Linked DNA regions of Caenorhabditis elegans. The protein of the gene in region 4 interacts with the protein of the main gene of each other region in a pairwise test. Each region holds a gene or a part of one and is shown on either strand. Other genes may lie near its edges.

The links.
Region 1: the proteins of cpr-9 (region 4) and rpt-5 interact in a two-hybrid assay, tested with the Caenorhabditis elegans proteins (one large-scale study listed by BioGRID).
Region 2: the proteins of cpr-9 (region 4) and stam-1 interact in a two-hybrid assay, tested with the Caenorhabditis elegans proteins (one large-scale study listed by BioGRID).
Region 3: the proteins of cpr-9 (region 4) and ajm-1 interact in a two-hybrid assay, tested with the Caenorhabditis elegans proteins (one large-scale study listed by BioGRID).

Annotation. Positions count from the first base shown.
Region 1 is NC_003279.8:5,741,306-5,745,073, forward strand, and holds rpt-5 (26S protease regulatory subunit 6A), read right to left. Parts: upstream 2,267-3,768; 5' UTR 2,250-2,266; coding exon 1,589-2,249; intron 1,497-1,588; coding exon 1,204-1,496; intron 1,140-1,203; coding exon 994-1,139; intron 939-993; coding exon 746-938; 3' UTR 563-745; downstream 1-562. Other genes in the region: rad-8 (Reticulon-4-interacting protein 1, mitochondrial), read left to right, coding at 2,879-3,028, 3,073-3,261, 3,315-3,607, 3,653-3,768. UniProt on the Caenorhabditis elegans protein: Component of the 26S proteasome, a multiprotein complex involved in the ATP-dependent degradation of ubiquitinated proteins.
Region 2 is NC_003279.8:5,901,567-5,906,539, forward strand, and holds stam-1 (Signal transducing adapter molecule 1), read right to left. Parts: upstream 3,130-4,973; 5' UTR 3,074-3,129; coding exon 3,068-3,073; intron 2,762-3,067; coding exon 2,654-2,761; intron 2,472-2,653; coding exon 2,280-2,471; intron 2,078-2,279; coding exon 1,880-2,077; intron 1,827-1,879; coding exon 1,576-1,826; intron 1,412-1,575; coding exon 979-1,411; coding exon of another isoform or gene 949-978; intron 882-948; coding exon 696-881; 3' UTR 539-695; downstream 1-538. Other genes in the region: tyr-4 (ShKT domain-containing protein), read left to right, coding at 44-468.
Region 3 is NC_003284.9:9,081,052-9,086,038, reverse strand, and holds the start of ajm-1 (Apical junction molecule ajm-1), read right to left. Parts: upstream 3,057-4,987; coding exon 2,955-3,056; intron 2,137-2,954; coding exon 1,978-2,136; intron 771-1,977; exon of another isoform or gene 568-770; intron 352-567; exon of another isoform or gene 210-351; intron 7-209; exon of another isoform or gene 1-6.
Region 4 is NC_003283.11:12,001,317-12,005,084, reverse strand, and holds cpr-9 (Peptidase C1A papain C-terminal domain-containing protein), read right to left. Parts: upstream 2,033-3,768; 5' UTR 1,912-2,032; coding exon 1,909-1,911; intron 1,853-1,908; coding exon 1,607-1,852; intron 1,511-1,606; coding exon 704-1,510; 3' UTR 501-703; downstream 1-500. Other genes in the region: F57F5.3 (ABC transmembrane type-1 domain-containing protein), read left to right, coding at 1-121, 173-453; gcy-33 (guanylate cyclase), read left to right, coding at 3,309-3,380.

The DNA.
Region 1 (3,768 bases), on a different chromosome or scaffold from region 4:
TGTAATGCAATTTCTGCTTTGTGTCCTCCGCAATCAAAAGTAGTAGCATATAGTCATAAGACAAAAGAATTGGTAACAGATACACCACCTGTAAGATTAAAATTATTTCAGAAAGATAATCAATGAAATACAAATATTTACAGCTCGAGAAAAATCCCTTTATACTTTCCGAACTTTTCTGCATCGATGGAGAGTGGTTCAAAAGAGGTGTTGGTTCCGAAGATTCGATGCTTACAGGATCCCCAATTTCATGTGCAACTACTAAATAATTATCTGATACACTTCGCATTATTCAATAATGAAATTGATAACAGTAATTGTAAAGATATTTCAATTGATAAATATTTTCAAAAAAGAAAATACTTTCTATCTAACGAGACCCAAATGAAAGAGGCGGAGCGTTTCCATTTGGCACTGGGGCGCGATTGCACTTTAGCTTTTCTCTGCATACGTTTCACTGACGTCAGTACTGACTTCTGGATCGGTCAAGTTACAATTTGAGATGTCTCGCTAAATGTTTGAAGAGCACGCAGAATGTTGAAACAGTGAAAGAAACACATTTCGAAGAGTGACCATTTATGCACATTGATCGGAAATAAATTAGGAATCCACGCACTTCGAGGATGAATCAATAAAAACAGGAGAGGGGTGGGAATAGAATACGAAAGATGAAAGTAAGAAAAAATCGCGTGAGAAAATTCGGGAGCGATTCAAAGGGAACACAGTGACAACCGGGAGTGAAGGATTAAGCGTAGTAATTGAGGGACGCCTTTTTCTTTGCCTGGACCTCCAGAATAGCATCCATAAAGTCTTCATGAAGAATCTCAGTAGCATCTCGTCGAAGAGCAATCATTCCAGCTTCAACACAAACCGCTTTGCATTGTGCTCCGTTGAAGTCATCGGTACAGCGGGCCAGTTCTTCAAAGTTTACATCCTTGCTGAAAAAAATTAATTAGACTAAATTTTACAAATAAAACTGTCGCGAAAACATACTTGACATTCATCTTCCTGGAATGAATCTGCATGATTCTGGCACGGGCATCCTCGTTCGGATGGGGAAGCTCAATTTTACGATCGAGACGACCAGAACGAAGAAGAGCGGGATCGAGCACATCGATACGGTTCGTTGCAGCAATGACCTTAAATTCATATTTACAGCTTATACCGTCTTAAAAATATAACTTAAAATGGAACTCAGCTTACCTTGATATCATCATTTGGTTGGAAGCCATCAAGTTGATTAAGAAGTTCCAACATGGTACGTTGCACTTCACGATCTCCAGCTTTCTCTGAATCGAATCGCTTCGTACCAATGGCATCCAACTCATCAATGAAAATAATAGCTGGAGCCTTTTCCTTAGCAAGAGCAAAAGCATCACGAACAAGCTTGGCTCCATCTCCAATGAACATCTGAACAAGTTGTGGGCCTGCGAGCTTCAAGAATGTTGATTTAGTTTGGGCAGCAACCGCACGGGCCATCATCGTTTTACCAGTTCCTGAAAAACGAATAATTTACACTTGAGCTGTTGTAATTAAAATGGTTATTTTCTAGGAGTACTACTTTATCAAAAATTTTTCGTAATCTTACCTGGTGGTCCATACATGAGCACACCCTTTGGAGGATGAATACCCAAATTAACAAATCGATCCTTGTGAGTCATTGGAAGCACAACAGCTTCAATCAGCTCCTGAATTTGCTTGTCACATCCTCCGATATCGGAATATTGTTCAGTTGGCCGTTCGTCAACTTCCATAGCCTTCACACGAGAATCATATTCTGCTGGTAATTTTTCAAGAATCAAATATGAATCCTTATTGACACCAACGAGATCTCCTGGCTTCAACTCATCTGGATCGACAAGTCCAACAACTGGTAAGAAATATGTGGCACGAGTGGAAGTCTTAATGACTGCGCACTTGGTTTTTTGGGCATCGAGATCAACATTTGCGCCTTCTTCTTCTGTATTATCCTCGAGATCAAGAAGTTCGACAACGTTGGACACCAAGTACGGAAGAGTTTTGTTAACTTTGATACGTTCAGTATTCTCCTTGATCCGTTCTTTGAGAGTGGTTGCAGAATGATTGATACGTTGAACTTCACTTCTCATAATACGAATCTCGTTGTCCAACAAGTGGGTACGGCTTTTGAGATCTTCCGTCGACATTTTCAGAATCTCCTCATCAATAGCATCCTCCACCTCCATTGCCTCTGGGTTTTTTCCGTCTTTTGGCGGTGGTGTTTGCGACATTGTACTGCTTCTGGGGCCTGAAAATTAGTTGTAATTGCTTCTGGTGAGATCTGAAAAGTAGTTCCAGAGAATAACGCAAAGTCAAAGTTCTGGACAATAAAATAAAATCAGTAACACAATGCGGTGTAAATGAGAATATTTAGTTCAAAAAATTAAACGAACGCTAATGTGTATTGAGCGAGTGACAATGAGAGAAAGTGTTTATCACGAGAAATAATGATTAGAATAAAAGAAAGTTTGACTTGATAATTTCACGATGGCCCAAAGGTTACGTCAGTATTTAGCTTACTATTAGGTTTACGTTCCGTCCACAAAATCTGTTTTGGCTAGCTAAATATTATTTAAAAAAGTTTAAAATTTGTGTTACTATCTTCAAAATATCTTTAATGAGTTCTCAAGATAAAAAATTTTGAATATAAACTTAAAAAAAAACAATAATAAGCTTTTTAGCCTTCAGTAAATGATAAAGAATCCAAAAGAACGAGAAATTTTGAAAAGGATGATTTGTGCAATTTAGCGTCGCGGTGAACCACACAGAAGGCATTTAATTTTACGACACTTGAAGTCTTCGTGCAGTTTTATTTGTTTTTATCAGAAAAAAGTTATTTCCACATGAAATTTTCAGCAAAATGATCGAAAAAATGATTCTACGAAGATTTTTCTCAACAAAATCATCAACGATGCGTGCATGGGTCTCTGAAAACGGATCTGGAGTTGAGCTCAAAGAAGTGCCGCTTCCAGTCATAAACAAACCAGGACAAGTCCTTCTAAAAGTTAAAGTGAGATTAATATTTCTTGATTCAAGCAATTTAAATATTTGTAGGCAGCGTCTGTTAATCCGATCGATGTTGACATGTCTCAAGGATACGGTAGAGAATTCCTAGGGACGTGGAAAAAAATAGAGTCCTGTGATGCAGCCGCGTCTAGATTCCCTCTAATTCCAGGAAGAGATTGTACAGCTGTTGTAGAATCTGTTGGTGGCGATGTGCACAATTTAGCTCCCGGTGATGAGGTAACGAAATCCTATTATGCATCGATTCATGATTAAATATCGTATGTTTTCAGGTTATGGCTGTTGTTCCTGTAATTCTTCCAGGCACACATGCCGAGTTTGTTGTCACTGATTCGAAGTATTGCTCTAAAAAGCCCAGCAATTTGAGCTTTGTATCAGCTGCCGCACTTCCTTACGTCGCATCGACAGCCTACTCAGCTTTTACAATAGCCAGGGTCTCACAACGAAATGCCAAACAACAAAGAGTTTTGATTCATGGAGGAGCCGGAGGAGTTGGAAGTATGGCAATCCAGCTATTGAAAGCATGGGGATGTGAAAAGATAGTGGCAACGTGTGCAAAGGGCAGGTTAGATTATCTATATCTTTGCAATTTTTCAAATAAAAATTGTAGTTTCGATATTGTGAAGCAACTTGGTGCAATTCCAGTCGACTACACATCAGACCAGGCGACTCAGGAATTGATTGAGCATGCACCATTTGAAGTTATTCTTGATACTGTCGATTCCC
Region 2 (4,973 bases), on a different chromosome or scaffold from region 4:
TTTTTAAAAAAATATTTTTATAATTAAAAAATATATATTTCAGCATGCGTCGACTACCATAGATCATGTGCCGGATGGGCTCGTGTCGGTGAATGTCAGAAAAATCCATGGATGGCTGAGAATTGTAGATCAAGCTGTAACAGTTGCTATACTCAATCAGAGCTTCGTAGAATGTGTGGAACTACAGCTGGATCAGTTGCTCCAGTTGCACAAGTTCGTCAGACTAATCCATCTCGTCAACCACCACGTGGAGGTTGGGGACGTGACGATTTCGGAGATAATGGAGGATGGGGTGGAAATGGAGGTGGTGGATGGGGAAACAATGATCCATGGGGAGGATCAAGATGGGGTGGTGGAAGAGGTGGATGGGGTGGAGGTGGATGGGGAGGCGGTGGATGGGGTAAACGATCCATTCGAGCAGCCAATGCATCAATTTCAATGCCATCTTTTGATCCGGACCTCTTGTAATTTTTGTTACCTTTTCTCAATTTATCCGATTATTTTCGTGTATAATAAATATTTGCCTCAAACTCAATAAAGAATTCATTTTTATCTTATCGAGAACTCGAGGAAGCAAAAGACTATACAGAAACGGGTGGCGAATCGAGAAAAATAAGTTAGAAGTGATCACAATATCAATGGAACTAGTTACAGATTCAAGGAGGAAAAGGTGATATTCACAACAAATCAAAAAGTTAATATTGTTGAGGCTGTGAAGACGGAGCAGGCCATTGTTGTTGCTGTTGTTGAGGTTGGGGAACAGAATTCGGTGGGCATGCGTACTGTGGTTGTGCTCCAGGAGCCGGATAGTGTTGTGGAGGATATTGTTGTGGCTGCTGTTGTTGGACAGGACCGGTAGGTGGGTAATATGCTCGGTTTGGCTGAAAAATACGATTTTTTGAATTGATAGGCATTACCGTGAAGCTTAGAATGAAAAATTTCAGTTTTCTAAATATTTTTTTCTGAATAAAAACTGACTGGTTGCTGATAGTTGTACTGTTGCATTGGTTGTTGGTACATTCCTTGACTTTGATGCTGAAATCCTCCCTTCTGAATCGCATCATCATAAAGTGCGAGCACATCACGAATAGCCACATCGATTTGTGCTAGAGAGTTGCTCTGTCGATCAATACTAGCCAAATGTGCATCAATGAGATTTCCTTGAGCATACGAGGCGGCTTCTAGTTGGGCCAAATCCTCTGGATCCTGTCGTTCACCGGTAGGATCACATTCATGGAGTACTTGAAGACAACGAACAAGGATTGCTTCATTAATTGAGGCTACAACTTCTGGGGCTTTCTGTGATGAATCCGTCTCTTTTGATTTTAGATCATCGAGTTGATTAGTAACGAAGCTGGATGGGAAAAGTCCCTGTTGGGTACCAATACGACCAGTCCACCAGTGGGGATTGCTGCAAAAAATTGTTTTTTTTTTGATAATTGATAGAAGCAGTCAGTAACGAAAAGGTTCGGTATGATTAATTTTAAATTACAAAAAAAAAAACTGAAGAACTTCCTGATTTGATTTTTAAGCGATTGCTTTCAATTTAAACTAGAACACATTTTTGTTGCTTACCTTTCATCAGTAATTGTAATAATATCTCCAGCAACAAAAGATAATTCATTGCTTTCAGCAGCCTCAAAATCGTATAACGCTCGAACATTCTTTTCCGGAATATTCGAATTAGTCTGAACTGCTGGACTACTTGCTTTTGCTGATGGATACATTGTGGATGTTGATTTTTTTGCTTTTTCCTGTTTCTCTGCATCCGCCAATGAAGCAGCAATGGCTTTTGCGATTGCTTCTTCTTCCTGAGCAGATCCAACCTATAATAATTATTAATTTTTGATATTTATTGCCGCGAACTTCCACAACTCACATAATTCGGATCATTTGCAAACTTTGCATCAATCGCTTTCGTTTTACTTTTTGGATCATCCACAACAAATGAGTAGCCATCAGCAACAAGATTTTTGTGAAGAGTGACGATAAGTGACAGTGATTGTTCAGTTTTGCATTCTGTATCCACCCATTTTTGAACAGTTAATCGCATTTTTTCAGCAACTTGGCGTTGACTCTATAATAATTGTAAATTTTTGTATTTTTTTTTGTAAACGCGGTGAAATGTATCGTATTTTCGTATTATACTTATTTTTCTAACTCTATTTCTCTTTTTTATCTCTTTTCTGCGTATACTATATCTATTAAAGAAATACAAAACTTCATGAAAGAAATTTTGATATTTTGTTTAACAATTTCAGATTTAAACAAAAACTCACCGATGTACAAAGAGCTTTGAGTTCATTGATAAATTGTGCAGACGATACTTCCTTTCTGAATCTTTCTTCACAGTTTGCCCAACACGAATCAAGTACAGAAATCGCTAGAAGGACAACATGAGGATCACGATTGTTGAGACGTTTACGAAGTGATTTGATTCCTGTTTTCGATCCCTCGAAGTCGTTATTAATCTGAAAATTTTAAACTAAAACATTAAGTTTAGTCCAAAATCAATGATTTTCGGTGAAAATCAGCTAGCAAATTTAAGGAGGAAATTTTAATTTTAAAATATGATTTTTTATCAAACGACAAAGAATTCTATCTATAAATCAGTGAAAAGGTTTATACATTTTTTAAAACAAATTGAACGAACCATATCACAAAATGCGAGAATTCCCTCCCAATTCTCAACAGTGATAGTTGGAGCAGTGATTTTTCCGAGCAAATCCTCATAAGCAGACATTGGAAATGACTTTTGTTTCTGAAAATATAAAAAAGGAATATTACGAAAGAAAATTGAATCAATAACGGGTTTGCTTGTTGAATGTGTTAGTCGGGTGAACTGAAAGAGAGAGTGTAGGGGGATGAAGAGACATTAGACGGGTTAAGACACTGACGCATATGCTTTGTGTGTTCGTTCGTGCACACTTTTTTCTATGTTTTTGTTTTGTTTTCTTCCTTTCCGAAAACTTAATCATTTTTTACTGAATGAAAAAAAATCTATTTGAATGAACAATTACTCTTAACACTATTTTTAATTAAAGTAGAGATAGGAAAACGAACAAACCTTCATTGTTACAGCAGACTTTCAGCACGTGATCAGGTTCAATTGAATGAGTCTCACTGAAACTGAATATTTATTTCGAAATAATTTTCAAAAGCGTGATATTTAAAATATTGAGGGCAAAGACGATCGATATTCAATTTAGTTTGAGCAATTTGTTTATTTTTTCGAAAAAATGAATACTTTTGCCTTTCGCAATCGCAGATTTTCGAGAACTTGCGTCTCACGCGTGTACCAATCACATTCATGCGTTTAATTGAAAAAAAAAACATTTTAAAACTGCAATGCACATTTTTATAGAAAAATTAAATAACTTTCGAGAAAAATTAAATTCCAAAGAGAAGAAAGATTGTGGAATAATTCAAAAAAAATGATCTGAACAACTGTAGAATTCGTGGCAGACCCTCATGCTACAAATCGCGCGCTCCTTTAATCTTTCAAATTTTTTTCTCTGTTTAAACATGTTTTTTTTTAATTTTCAGTGTCCATGCTTTTTCTAAACTTTTAAAACTAAATGTTACTCAATAATTAGTTCAAAATTATTAAAAGTAGATTACTGGGACGTTTTTAATGTTTTTTCCTAAAAAATAATACTTTAGAACCTGAAAACGCTTCGTAACAAAATGTTCAATTTTTCGTTTTCAAAAAAATTTGTTCAGACTTCTATTTATTCCATTCATATTTCTTACTTCTCATCGTAATAGAATTTTTAAAAATTGTTGAAAAAAAATCCAAATCCAAATTGTTTATAAGCACAATTGTTTGCACTTTCATTGTTGATTCCACCTGCTTTTCGTTCTTTTCTCTCTCTCTCACCACTCTTCCACTCTGTGTTCATATAAATTTTCATTTCCGTTCGATTCTCTTCACCTAATTCGTCAAAAAGGGGCCCAACAACAGCCACAAGCGGTAGCTGCTGCCGATAGCGAGCCATAAAAATACATCGAAAACGACACGAAACATTATCGATTTAGTTATTTTTTCTATCTAGAGCCAATTCATATTTTTCTATCTAGAGCCAATTCACACGAATTTTTGCATGTGCTTATCAGTTTTTCGACGAAATTTTGTAAACTTGGCGAGTTGATATAGATTAATCAGTGTAATTTGTCCTGTGTACACTGTCTAGAGTTTCCATGTTTGATTTTTTTCAAATTTCAAGTTTGTGGTTTGCAAATAGCTTTGAAATTTTACTGAATGTTCTAGTTTTTTACTAACTCATTTGAATTTTGTAATTCAATGAAATTATATAAGTATTATTCTGGATCGGTTATCAATTTAATCGAAAAAGACGAAAAGTCAATCGACTTGATCATGCAATCCGCGCAAAACTGGTCTATGGCATGCGTAATACAACACATAATGTTCATCACCAACCCCGTGCCTCCCAAAATACACATTGGTACTCATTTTACTCACAAAAACTTTCATAACTTCTTTCTTTAAAGTTATATTTTATTCTTAGTCTTCTATATCGAAATTTTTTTTTGAAATTCGGTTTTAAACCTTAATGGTTTTAATTATTAATTAAAGTTAAAAGTGGACTACGACTAATGGGGAAATTATTAAAAACTATTCATATGCTGTTGAAATTACCGAATCTCGTTATAAAGATTTTCAAAAAATTTTGGAATTTTTTATTTCGAGTCAAATTTGAAAAATCTAAATCACTGTCGCATGTTTGAATCTCCACAATGTTGGAATATAAGTATTTTAAACATAATTAAGTCAAAAAATCGAAGAAAAATTCCATAATTTCCAAATTTTTTGACAATTTTATTATGACATTTAGTCATTTGGTCACAGCATAGGAATTATTTTACACATTCCCCACTGGCAGTAGCCAACCTTCAAGAGAACAACTAATAGGTTGTTAAAAATAATATTCCTAATGTCTGTTCTGAATATT
Region 3 (4,987 bases), on a different chromosome or scaffold from region 4:
TTTCGGAGTGAACGGAACGTTGTACACTGAACGGATATGATGACTAATTGGTAGTGACGGTACAATGATTTGATGACAAATGACCAGAAAATGAAGAAATCCCGAGACATAAAGAAAAAACAAAAAGTGCGAAAGATTGGTGACTTGAAGAGGAATAGAGATGGATGCAAAAGTCAAAAAATCAAACATATTGTATTATATGAACACAACGATGTACAGAGAAAAAAGAAAAAGGGGCAAAAAGGCAGAAGAGCTGGCGGGGTTGTTTTGTGTGAATCATCTGAATAAACAGGGCTTTTTATATGCGTTAGCTGGTACGTATATGCATATTTGTGTGTATTGACAAGGTGGCTGAGGTTGGTGCATCTCCTTTTTGTATACCGTGCAGTGCACGGCAGTATCTTTTTACTCGACTTTTCCCAGTTGGCATCGTTTGAGAAAATTTTCCGCAACTTAGTTTCACTAAGGAAAATTATGTAAAAGTAAAATTCACTTTCACTATTGAGTTGTCGGCTTACACTTCGGTTCTCCTTGGGTTTATCAAAGAAAAAAATTATGTTGAATTTAATATTTCTTAGTTGACTATTTTGACTATTTTATTTTTTTTTGATAAAAACAAAAATTACCCAAGTACTGCCAAGGTGGAGCAAGAGGGTACAAGTGTTTTTTTTTTCAAATTTAAAACACGAATAATCCCTACAATAATCAATTCACTACAAATATAAGTAAAAATTAAAAAGTTCAAGTTCGTTAAACCTACTAAGTATACTAAGTAATTACAATCGAGACATTTGCAGATTTTTAGTTGAACAAATAAATTCTAAACTGTATAAAACTCGTGAATATAGAAAAGTAAAAGTATAACACAAATTCAACATATACACCACAAATACCACATAAGAAGCCAGGTAGTAGCACATTAAAAAACACGACAGAGGTTAGTGGCCAAGACGATTTGGAGGAAGGGCAAACGTCTGTGACCCTCTCTGTTTTCTGCCCCTCTTGACATCTCCAACGGAACAATTGAACAGTTTTAATAAGGTTGCTAGAGTCTGGTGGAATGAATGAGTCGAGATTTGATGAGTTGAGTTAGATGGTTCAGAATTGGTAATTTGAAGAAAATTGGCCAAGTGGAATTGGGAAAAGATGCGAATTAAGAACTGAATACTAAGGTAGGTAACGTAAATTAAACTAAAAATAAGCAAATTTCTAGTCAGTGACTCATAATCAAGACATGGTTATTAGATAAATTTCAGGAAAGAAATAATAATTTTGACACTTTTATAATTAAATTTTTGATTTATTGCTTCACGTACAATTTTGAATAACACATGTGTTGTGAGTAAATTAATTGTGAATTTTTGCTCAAAAGTTGTATAATTTTACAATGTATACATTCTATTCCGTTACCACTATTATTAAAATTATCTTCATTCAATATCATCTGGAACTGTTCGAATGTGGGGTATCCCTAGCATATTAATATGATCAAGACATTTACACTATCCGAAAATAGCCAACAAACATATCAAAAATGTATATAATTTTTAAATCACACACAAAATCAAAACAAAGTAACATTTACTTAGTTTCAATAAATCATTTGGAAGTCAACCAAAAAATACATGTCCTGTCAGTTTTACACATTAAGGAGATTCATATTATTTTTATATATACATTGTTGTGTTCAAATCTCCAGTAATGCCCAAAATAATTGAGAAATTATTTGAAAGCAAGACATTTTTTCAAAAATAATTCTTATTCTCCCGAAAATAATTCTTCCGAAGAACATGAAAACTTAAAATGTGTGTAATTACGATATTTAATCGTGTTTGACAATTATTCATATGTGAATGAAAACAAAATTCCGCTTTCAAGACGTTAAATGTTAAAACTCAGTTTTTAACCTATACGGCAAAAGTATAAAAAATTGATAATGTCTTGTGAAAAGAAAAAACAATCAAGAAAAGGTCTCACCTGTATAAATACACCCTCTTCTACAATTTCGGTGTCGGAGCTGGTATCGGATGAGGAAGACGACGCCTCCTCAACCTGAATATCCGGATTTGCCGCCGTGGTGGTAAGTCGTTTCCGGGCCGTGGCGAACACAATTATACGTAGAGAGAGGACAAACGCCTGAATTCAGAAAGCAAATTAATTGGTGAATTGTTGTAAGAAGGTGTGTGGGAATTGAAATGGAATGGTGAAGGCGTCAAGAATTCAAATTTTCTCTAATGAATGGATAGTGTATCTACTGGACTAGTTTTCCTCTTTCCTCTCAGTTTTCAGATCGCCAAAAGGGCAAAAAGTTATCGGAACGAAGGCCCTTATGTAATGAGACGGTTGAAGGGCCACCCGACAACCACAAGACGCAATTAGTATCCGAAATGCAATGATTATTAGAAAAAAGTGGAAGTGTGGTGGTCATGTCTGCAAGCGAATGTACGAGATCCACAATTGCACGCTTTTGCTGCCACCCATACGCGAAACATTTTGAATTTAATAAATTCTGAGAGCGGAAAGCCCGGTGTAAAAAGAAGAATATGCTTGGAAATAACACGGGAAACTGTGAGAAATTTGACACGATTTAAAGAAAAAGATCCGCATTTTTGATACCCTTTTGTTCTTATTATAATTGAGAGAGGGAAGGGTCTCAGGCTGAACGCTTATTTTAAAGAAAACATATGTCAGATTCAATATCATATAGAGGGATGTGATATAAATATAAAGATGGACTGAAAAAAAATCATCGTGAAACTTCAAAAATTTTTTTAATTATTATCCAATATTTACGAATTTTGACAATTTTCGAGAAAGGCGCGAAATCTGAATGAATATCTCTTCTCGAATGAAAATCTCGTTTTGGCCTAACTTTACCTTTAAGTTAAAAAATTTAATAGGAGTATTTTTAATTTAGTATTAACTTGTATTAAAATTATGGCAAAAATACTCACCAAAATAGCAGAAAATGCTGTCTGTAAGATGGCGTTGAAGCCGTCCGGAGGACGACTTTTCTGTGACCTGTTGTTTGACGATTGTAGATTTTCTATGTCCATACAATTCTGAAAAAAAAACCTTTAAAATTTTCATCATTCCTTTTTGGAAAAGCGGATAGAATTTCAATCAAATTGCCTACATATTGCTGAATGTAGAATAATGGGTTTCAACAATAAAAAATGATTCAATAGGAACATGAATTGTTGAACGGAAACTTAGCAATTTAAAAAGGCTTGGTTAGTTTTTTATACAACAATTTGAAATCATTGTTTTGTTGAATAAAAAATTTGAAGAAGGAGACATGTGCGACCACGAGATGTTCCATGATTCAGACTATGATGTATCAACAACTTTATGCATATGTAGTGAAAAAATACGATGATGGGAGAATAACACACACGAAAATGAGCGAAAAACAAAAGAAGGATGTGCTACGGAAGAAGTAAAGAGCTCTCAGGTTTCTATTATGTGCCAATTTCTTTGTACTGTCAAGAAGAGAAGAGAGTGTGGTGTTTGCTCGTGAGTTCTGGCGAACACGAAGACAAGTTGGTAGCGCATAACAATTGCTTGTGCCGCACTAAACCACTTTTGCAAAATCTTTTATCTTCTTTTATCTCTCTAGTGATTTCAATCATACATACGTGCCAGTTTCACACCACAGATTACTGTGCAATAATGGAGTTACATCAAACTTCAAGCTAGTAAAACATTGGGCTTGGTTAGAAAATCAAAATTATTCGTATTTCTTTGTTAAATACAATAAATACTCTTCATATAGAAGTTACATTCTTTTAATAAAATGACAAAGTTAATTACAAAACAAGTTTTGTGATCTACAGAGGTGCGCGGGAATTGGAAAAAAAAAGTATCTCAAATTCTAAAATTTTTGAATTATCTCAAGCAAACGGATGACAAAAAAACTCTACTAAAATACACATGACATTTCAAGCTTAAATTTGTTAGGTTACAAGATTGCCAACAAAATCCGGCAATTCCTGTAATTTTTATTTCCAATGTTTTCAAAATTACCAAATGTCGCGCACCCCTGAAATTGAAATAGTTCCAATTTTGAGTTTAAAAATATTTAAAAAAAAATATTTTAAAAACATCATCTGAAGTTTTCAGTGTTACCAATTCATAACGTGAATAGTTTTTGGCACAGAAACAATTCGAATTTGTTTGAATTTAGATATTATATTATTTTATTAATGATAAAAATATAGTATTCAGAGGTGCAAAAAAACTAATAAAATGTAAAACTAAATTCACAGGAGATGTCGACCAGCAACATGTAATACAACATGATATGTATACAAAACAACAACAAGCAGTAGCAGATTAATAGTTGCATACTTTAGTAACGGTTAATGATGATGTTTTGTGAAAAGATGAGGATAAAAGCTTAGGTTTTTTTTTAAACTCCAGACTTGATTGATGAATTCTAGGTGATTTTGAACAAATTCTGAAAACATATGCTACTCTCCAAATGCAATTGTTGAATTAATCTAGGCAAAATGATGATGGAGAAATTTATAGTGCATTTATTTATTATGAATATAAATATCGAGAGGAATGGAATGAAAGATAGTCGGGAGTGAGAATGAGCGAGAACTCGTAAAATTGTAACGAACTACAGATGCGAAAAGTGATAAGAAATAAAGATGGAAATACAACAGATTATGATAATGTTTGTGCATGATGTTATGTGTTATAATTCGGTTTAAGAATGAAAGTGGTCAGGAATCTAGAGGAACGTTGAAATTTCGAACTACTTTTTTTAAATGAATCTCACTAAACAAAAAATTAAGATTACACGAATATTGAAAACTGTTTAACTTTGCAAACACAATAGAATTTTTTTCAAAACGGATTGCCTCACACTATGATATGACGGATTTTCCGGTCACCGGCACCTGTCAAAGATGATTAATCAATTTGTTTATTGACATTTCTCTCCTCGTTCACCGATAGTCTGATTATAGGGAAAAGG
Region 4 (3,768 bases):
TTTATATGTCTGACAGCTATTCTCAATCCATCAAAGGCATTGTCTAAATGTGTTGCCATTCTGCTGCTTGTCATTATTGTGCCAAATTTTATATTCCCAAAATATTCAGTTTTTATGAAAAGTGAGTTTTAGTTTGAAAAGTTTAAAATTTAAAAAAATCACATTATTTCAGCAGCAATAGAATCAGTGGAAATAAGTCAAGTAATGGATCGAAGTCTTTTTGGAAATGATATTGATATGATAAAATCAGAAACTCATAATCGAATGTCAAAGATTTTAATGTTATCAACAAATCATTGGCCATTGGGAGTATCTGATTTAACAAGTCTTCCAACTGATTTTGTTCTTATGATGCAGTATCTACTTATTGCATATTCTGTATTTTCATTATCCCTTTTTATTTTTTATGTCATTACTTTGTTTTGTTTTGTTCGTTTACTATCTGTTCAATGAACATATATTTTTCATACAATTTTTTGGGAGTACAAGTTCTGTGCATTATATTATAATAACCCTTTTCAAACAATTTGAATTTTGGAACAAAAGAAACAGAATTCGAATTAATCTTGACAAAAAAATATGTAATTCAAGTTTGTATGCAAATGTTAACAGAAAATATAAGAATAATTCAAATATTTATAAATCGAATACATATTGTACAATAGGCATTGAAGTTGCAATCACAAACACAATGTTTCGAGATTTACAATTTTGGAATTCCTCCGACGACTCCTCCCTCAATTCCGCACTCGTTAACTCCACGAATGATACGGAAATATCCGTTCTCTCCCCAATCCTCATTCCATGAGTTGGCACAGAGCCAATATGGTGTTCCATTATCAACTCCCCATCCGAGCATCTTTACGGCATGTCCTCCAAGACTGGCTCCAGCGGTATGAACGTAGACTCCTCCGGAGTAATGCTCAAAATCTTCGTAGACAGTGAATGCAACCTCAACTGGACCATGAGTCATGATTTCCTTTTGGATTTCAGCAGCCTTCTTTGAGACGGCGTATGCAGATTGTCCGAAGTGAAGATCTTGTTGGTAGGTGAGAGCATATCCAGCTTGGCAAGAGCGTTCGCATTTGTCAGTTGGGTACATGTTGGATGGGCATGGCTTGTAATGAGTTCCATTGACGTGATGTTCACATGGTGGATATGGGTATGGCTTGCATCCAGTCTTATCTTGATAAGATCCTCCGGTAACGTATCCCTTCTTAACATAGTGACGCCAGGCTTCAATTGGATATCCACCATTGCATCCATTTCCACAGACCATTCCACAGCAAGCATTGATATCGTCAGCAGAGATGGAAAGGATAGTTTTGGCATTTGACGCAATGCAAATACGATCAGAAATAGTTTCAGCAGCAGAGACAGCCCAGCACGATCCACAGGATGATTGATCACGGATCTTGGAGATGGATGGGCAGTTTGGCCATGCGGTACGGGAATCGAATGAGTCTGGAACAGCAGCATCCTCGACTTCTGGATGAGTCATCTCGAAAACCTGGAAACAATTTCATTAGGATAAATTAGTTTGAAAGAAATCTGTATTTTTTGGGAAGCGTTTTTCAAAATCTTTAAAATATTCAAATTTACTAACTCTGTACTCTTCTGGGATCTCGACCATCTTAGCTCCCATCAATTGCTTCTTAATGGTATCTGGGTAAGAGCTGAAGTATGATCCGAGCTCAGCCTTGAAGGAAGTCTGAACCTTGTTGACGTAATCAACAAGTTCCTGTCCACGAAGCATTTGAGCTTCAACTGGAATGGCATCTCCGTGCTTAACCTCAACATTGTAGGCGTTGACGGCGACAAGGCCGACAAGAAGAGCAGCAATTGCAGTTTTCTGAAATTGAAAAGTTTTTGAAACTGAAGTTAAACTTCAGGAAAATTAAGCCTTACCATTTTTCGATTGGCTGGAGAATTGGGAAATTCGACAGTCGACCAATTTATCAAGCGCTTACCAGGGGTTTTATAGTTTTTTCGTTTCAAGCGACTGATAACTTTTGAAGTTTGGCGTTTTCTCGAATATTGCTGATAAGAATTAGGCATTTCGCTACTAGCTCCGGTTTCATTTCGAAGTGAAAGGCCTGATTAGACACGTGCATGTTTGCGGGAGAATTCAAATTATTTGCTTAAACTTGGACTTTGAAAGCGAAAATTTGCAGGGTTAACGAGTTGTAGAGGTGATTAAAGAATATTATATTTTGTGCTCTCATAGTGTTATGCCTTTAAATATAATCCCTAGTAATAGACTGTTCCAATAATTCTTCGAACATTTTAATAGGTGTATTTTCGTACTATCCTGGTCATATCAACTTTCCAGCAGTACAATTTTAAACTGAAAATAGTTTCCTTACAATTATCAGCTCGTTTTTTCGGTTCCCGAAAAAAACATCCGTGTTTTAAGATAATGTGACGTCACACGCGACCATAATGCGAGATTGCATGGCATTGACGATCTGGATTAAAGTACATACCAGTCTATCAATTTTGTTTTAATTAATGTTTGATATTTAATTTAAAAACAAACATTCAAACAGATTTTGCTAGTTTGGCTCTGGTGTGTTAGCTGTTATACTAACTAGAATACATCGAGCTATTAACTTTGACCTGCTTAACTTGTCATATGACATGTTTATCATAAAGATGCATGTACGTCAATGTTTAGGTTATCACTATTCTTATCACAGGTTCGTAGAAGATCGATTCCAACTCCCACAAATCAAACAGACTACATTTCACTACAAAACACGAAATAGGGGCTACAAATGTCGTTTAAACTACTTTAGACACCTCAAATAAAACAAAAATAATCTGCCCCATGCCAGGCTCGAACTGGCGACCTTGGCATAACCTATAGACTATAAGTACCACGCGCTAACCGACTGCGCCAATGGGGCACGGCCCTAACGCATGAGAATTAGCCTTGACAAGTATACTGCTCTCCTCGGTCTCCTAGACTCTCTCCGTCTATGCTGTGTCTCTGTGGAGGGGTAAGGGATACACACATGAACCACTGTGTTGTGCGGTCTCTTGACCATTGCCTTACATAGAGGAAAAGGTGGGAGACCTAAAGAGCAACGAGCGGGGAGAGACGCAGACATTTGTATTTCAAGGGAAAGGGGGAGAGGTGAGCTAATGGATATTACGAATCGAAGATGAGATTATTAAAATAGGGGGCAACAGTGTACAGCTAACGGAAACTGGCACGGAAGTTGGAAGATGTTGGTAGTGGAAACACCTTATTCAGATTTTAGTCAGCATTTTCAAACATCTTCTAGCAGAAATCAACCCGCAAAATGTACGGATTGGTCATTGAAGGTGTTCGGTTTATGATACAGGAAAACTGGGGACCCCAAGTTCTTCTGCAGGTTTGACTTTTTCTAATTTTTAAATACCAACTTGAATGATCTTTCAAATTCCAAATGAAAGTTGAAAACATTTAACTTTTTAATGACTCCGTATCAATTATATATTGATGTGTAGGTGAGTAGCTATGCAGCCAATATAAAAAAGGCGCCCATTCAAATATTAAGCTTTAAACTTTATGACGTCATTAACCGGAAAAGACTTCTAGAACATTGCGATTTTTTCTCGATTTTTTTTCTAATTCGACGTAAAAATTATCTTTTAAAGAAAATTTATCTTTACATGTTCATAAGACCAAAAATATCAGAAAAAATTGTTATAAAACTTCCAAACTTTTGAGACAGCTGGCTAGCCAGTCTTTCGAAGCAACAATTTTAAAAAACAATTATG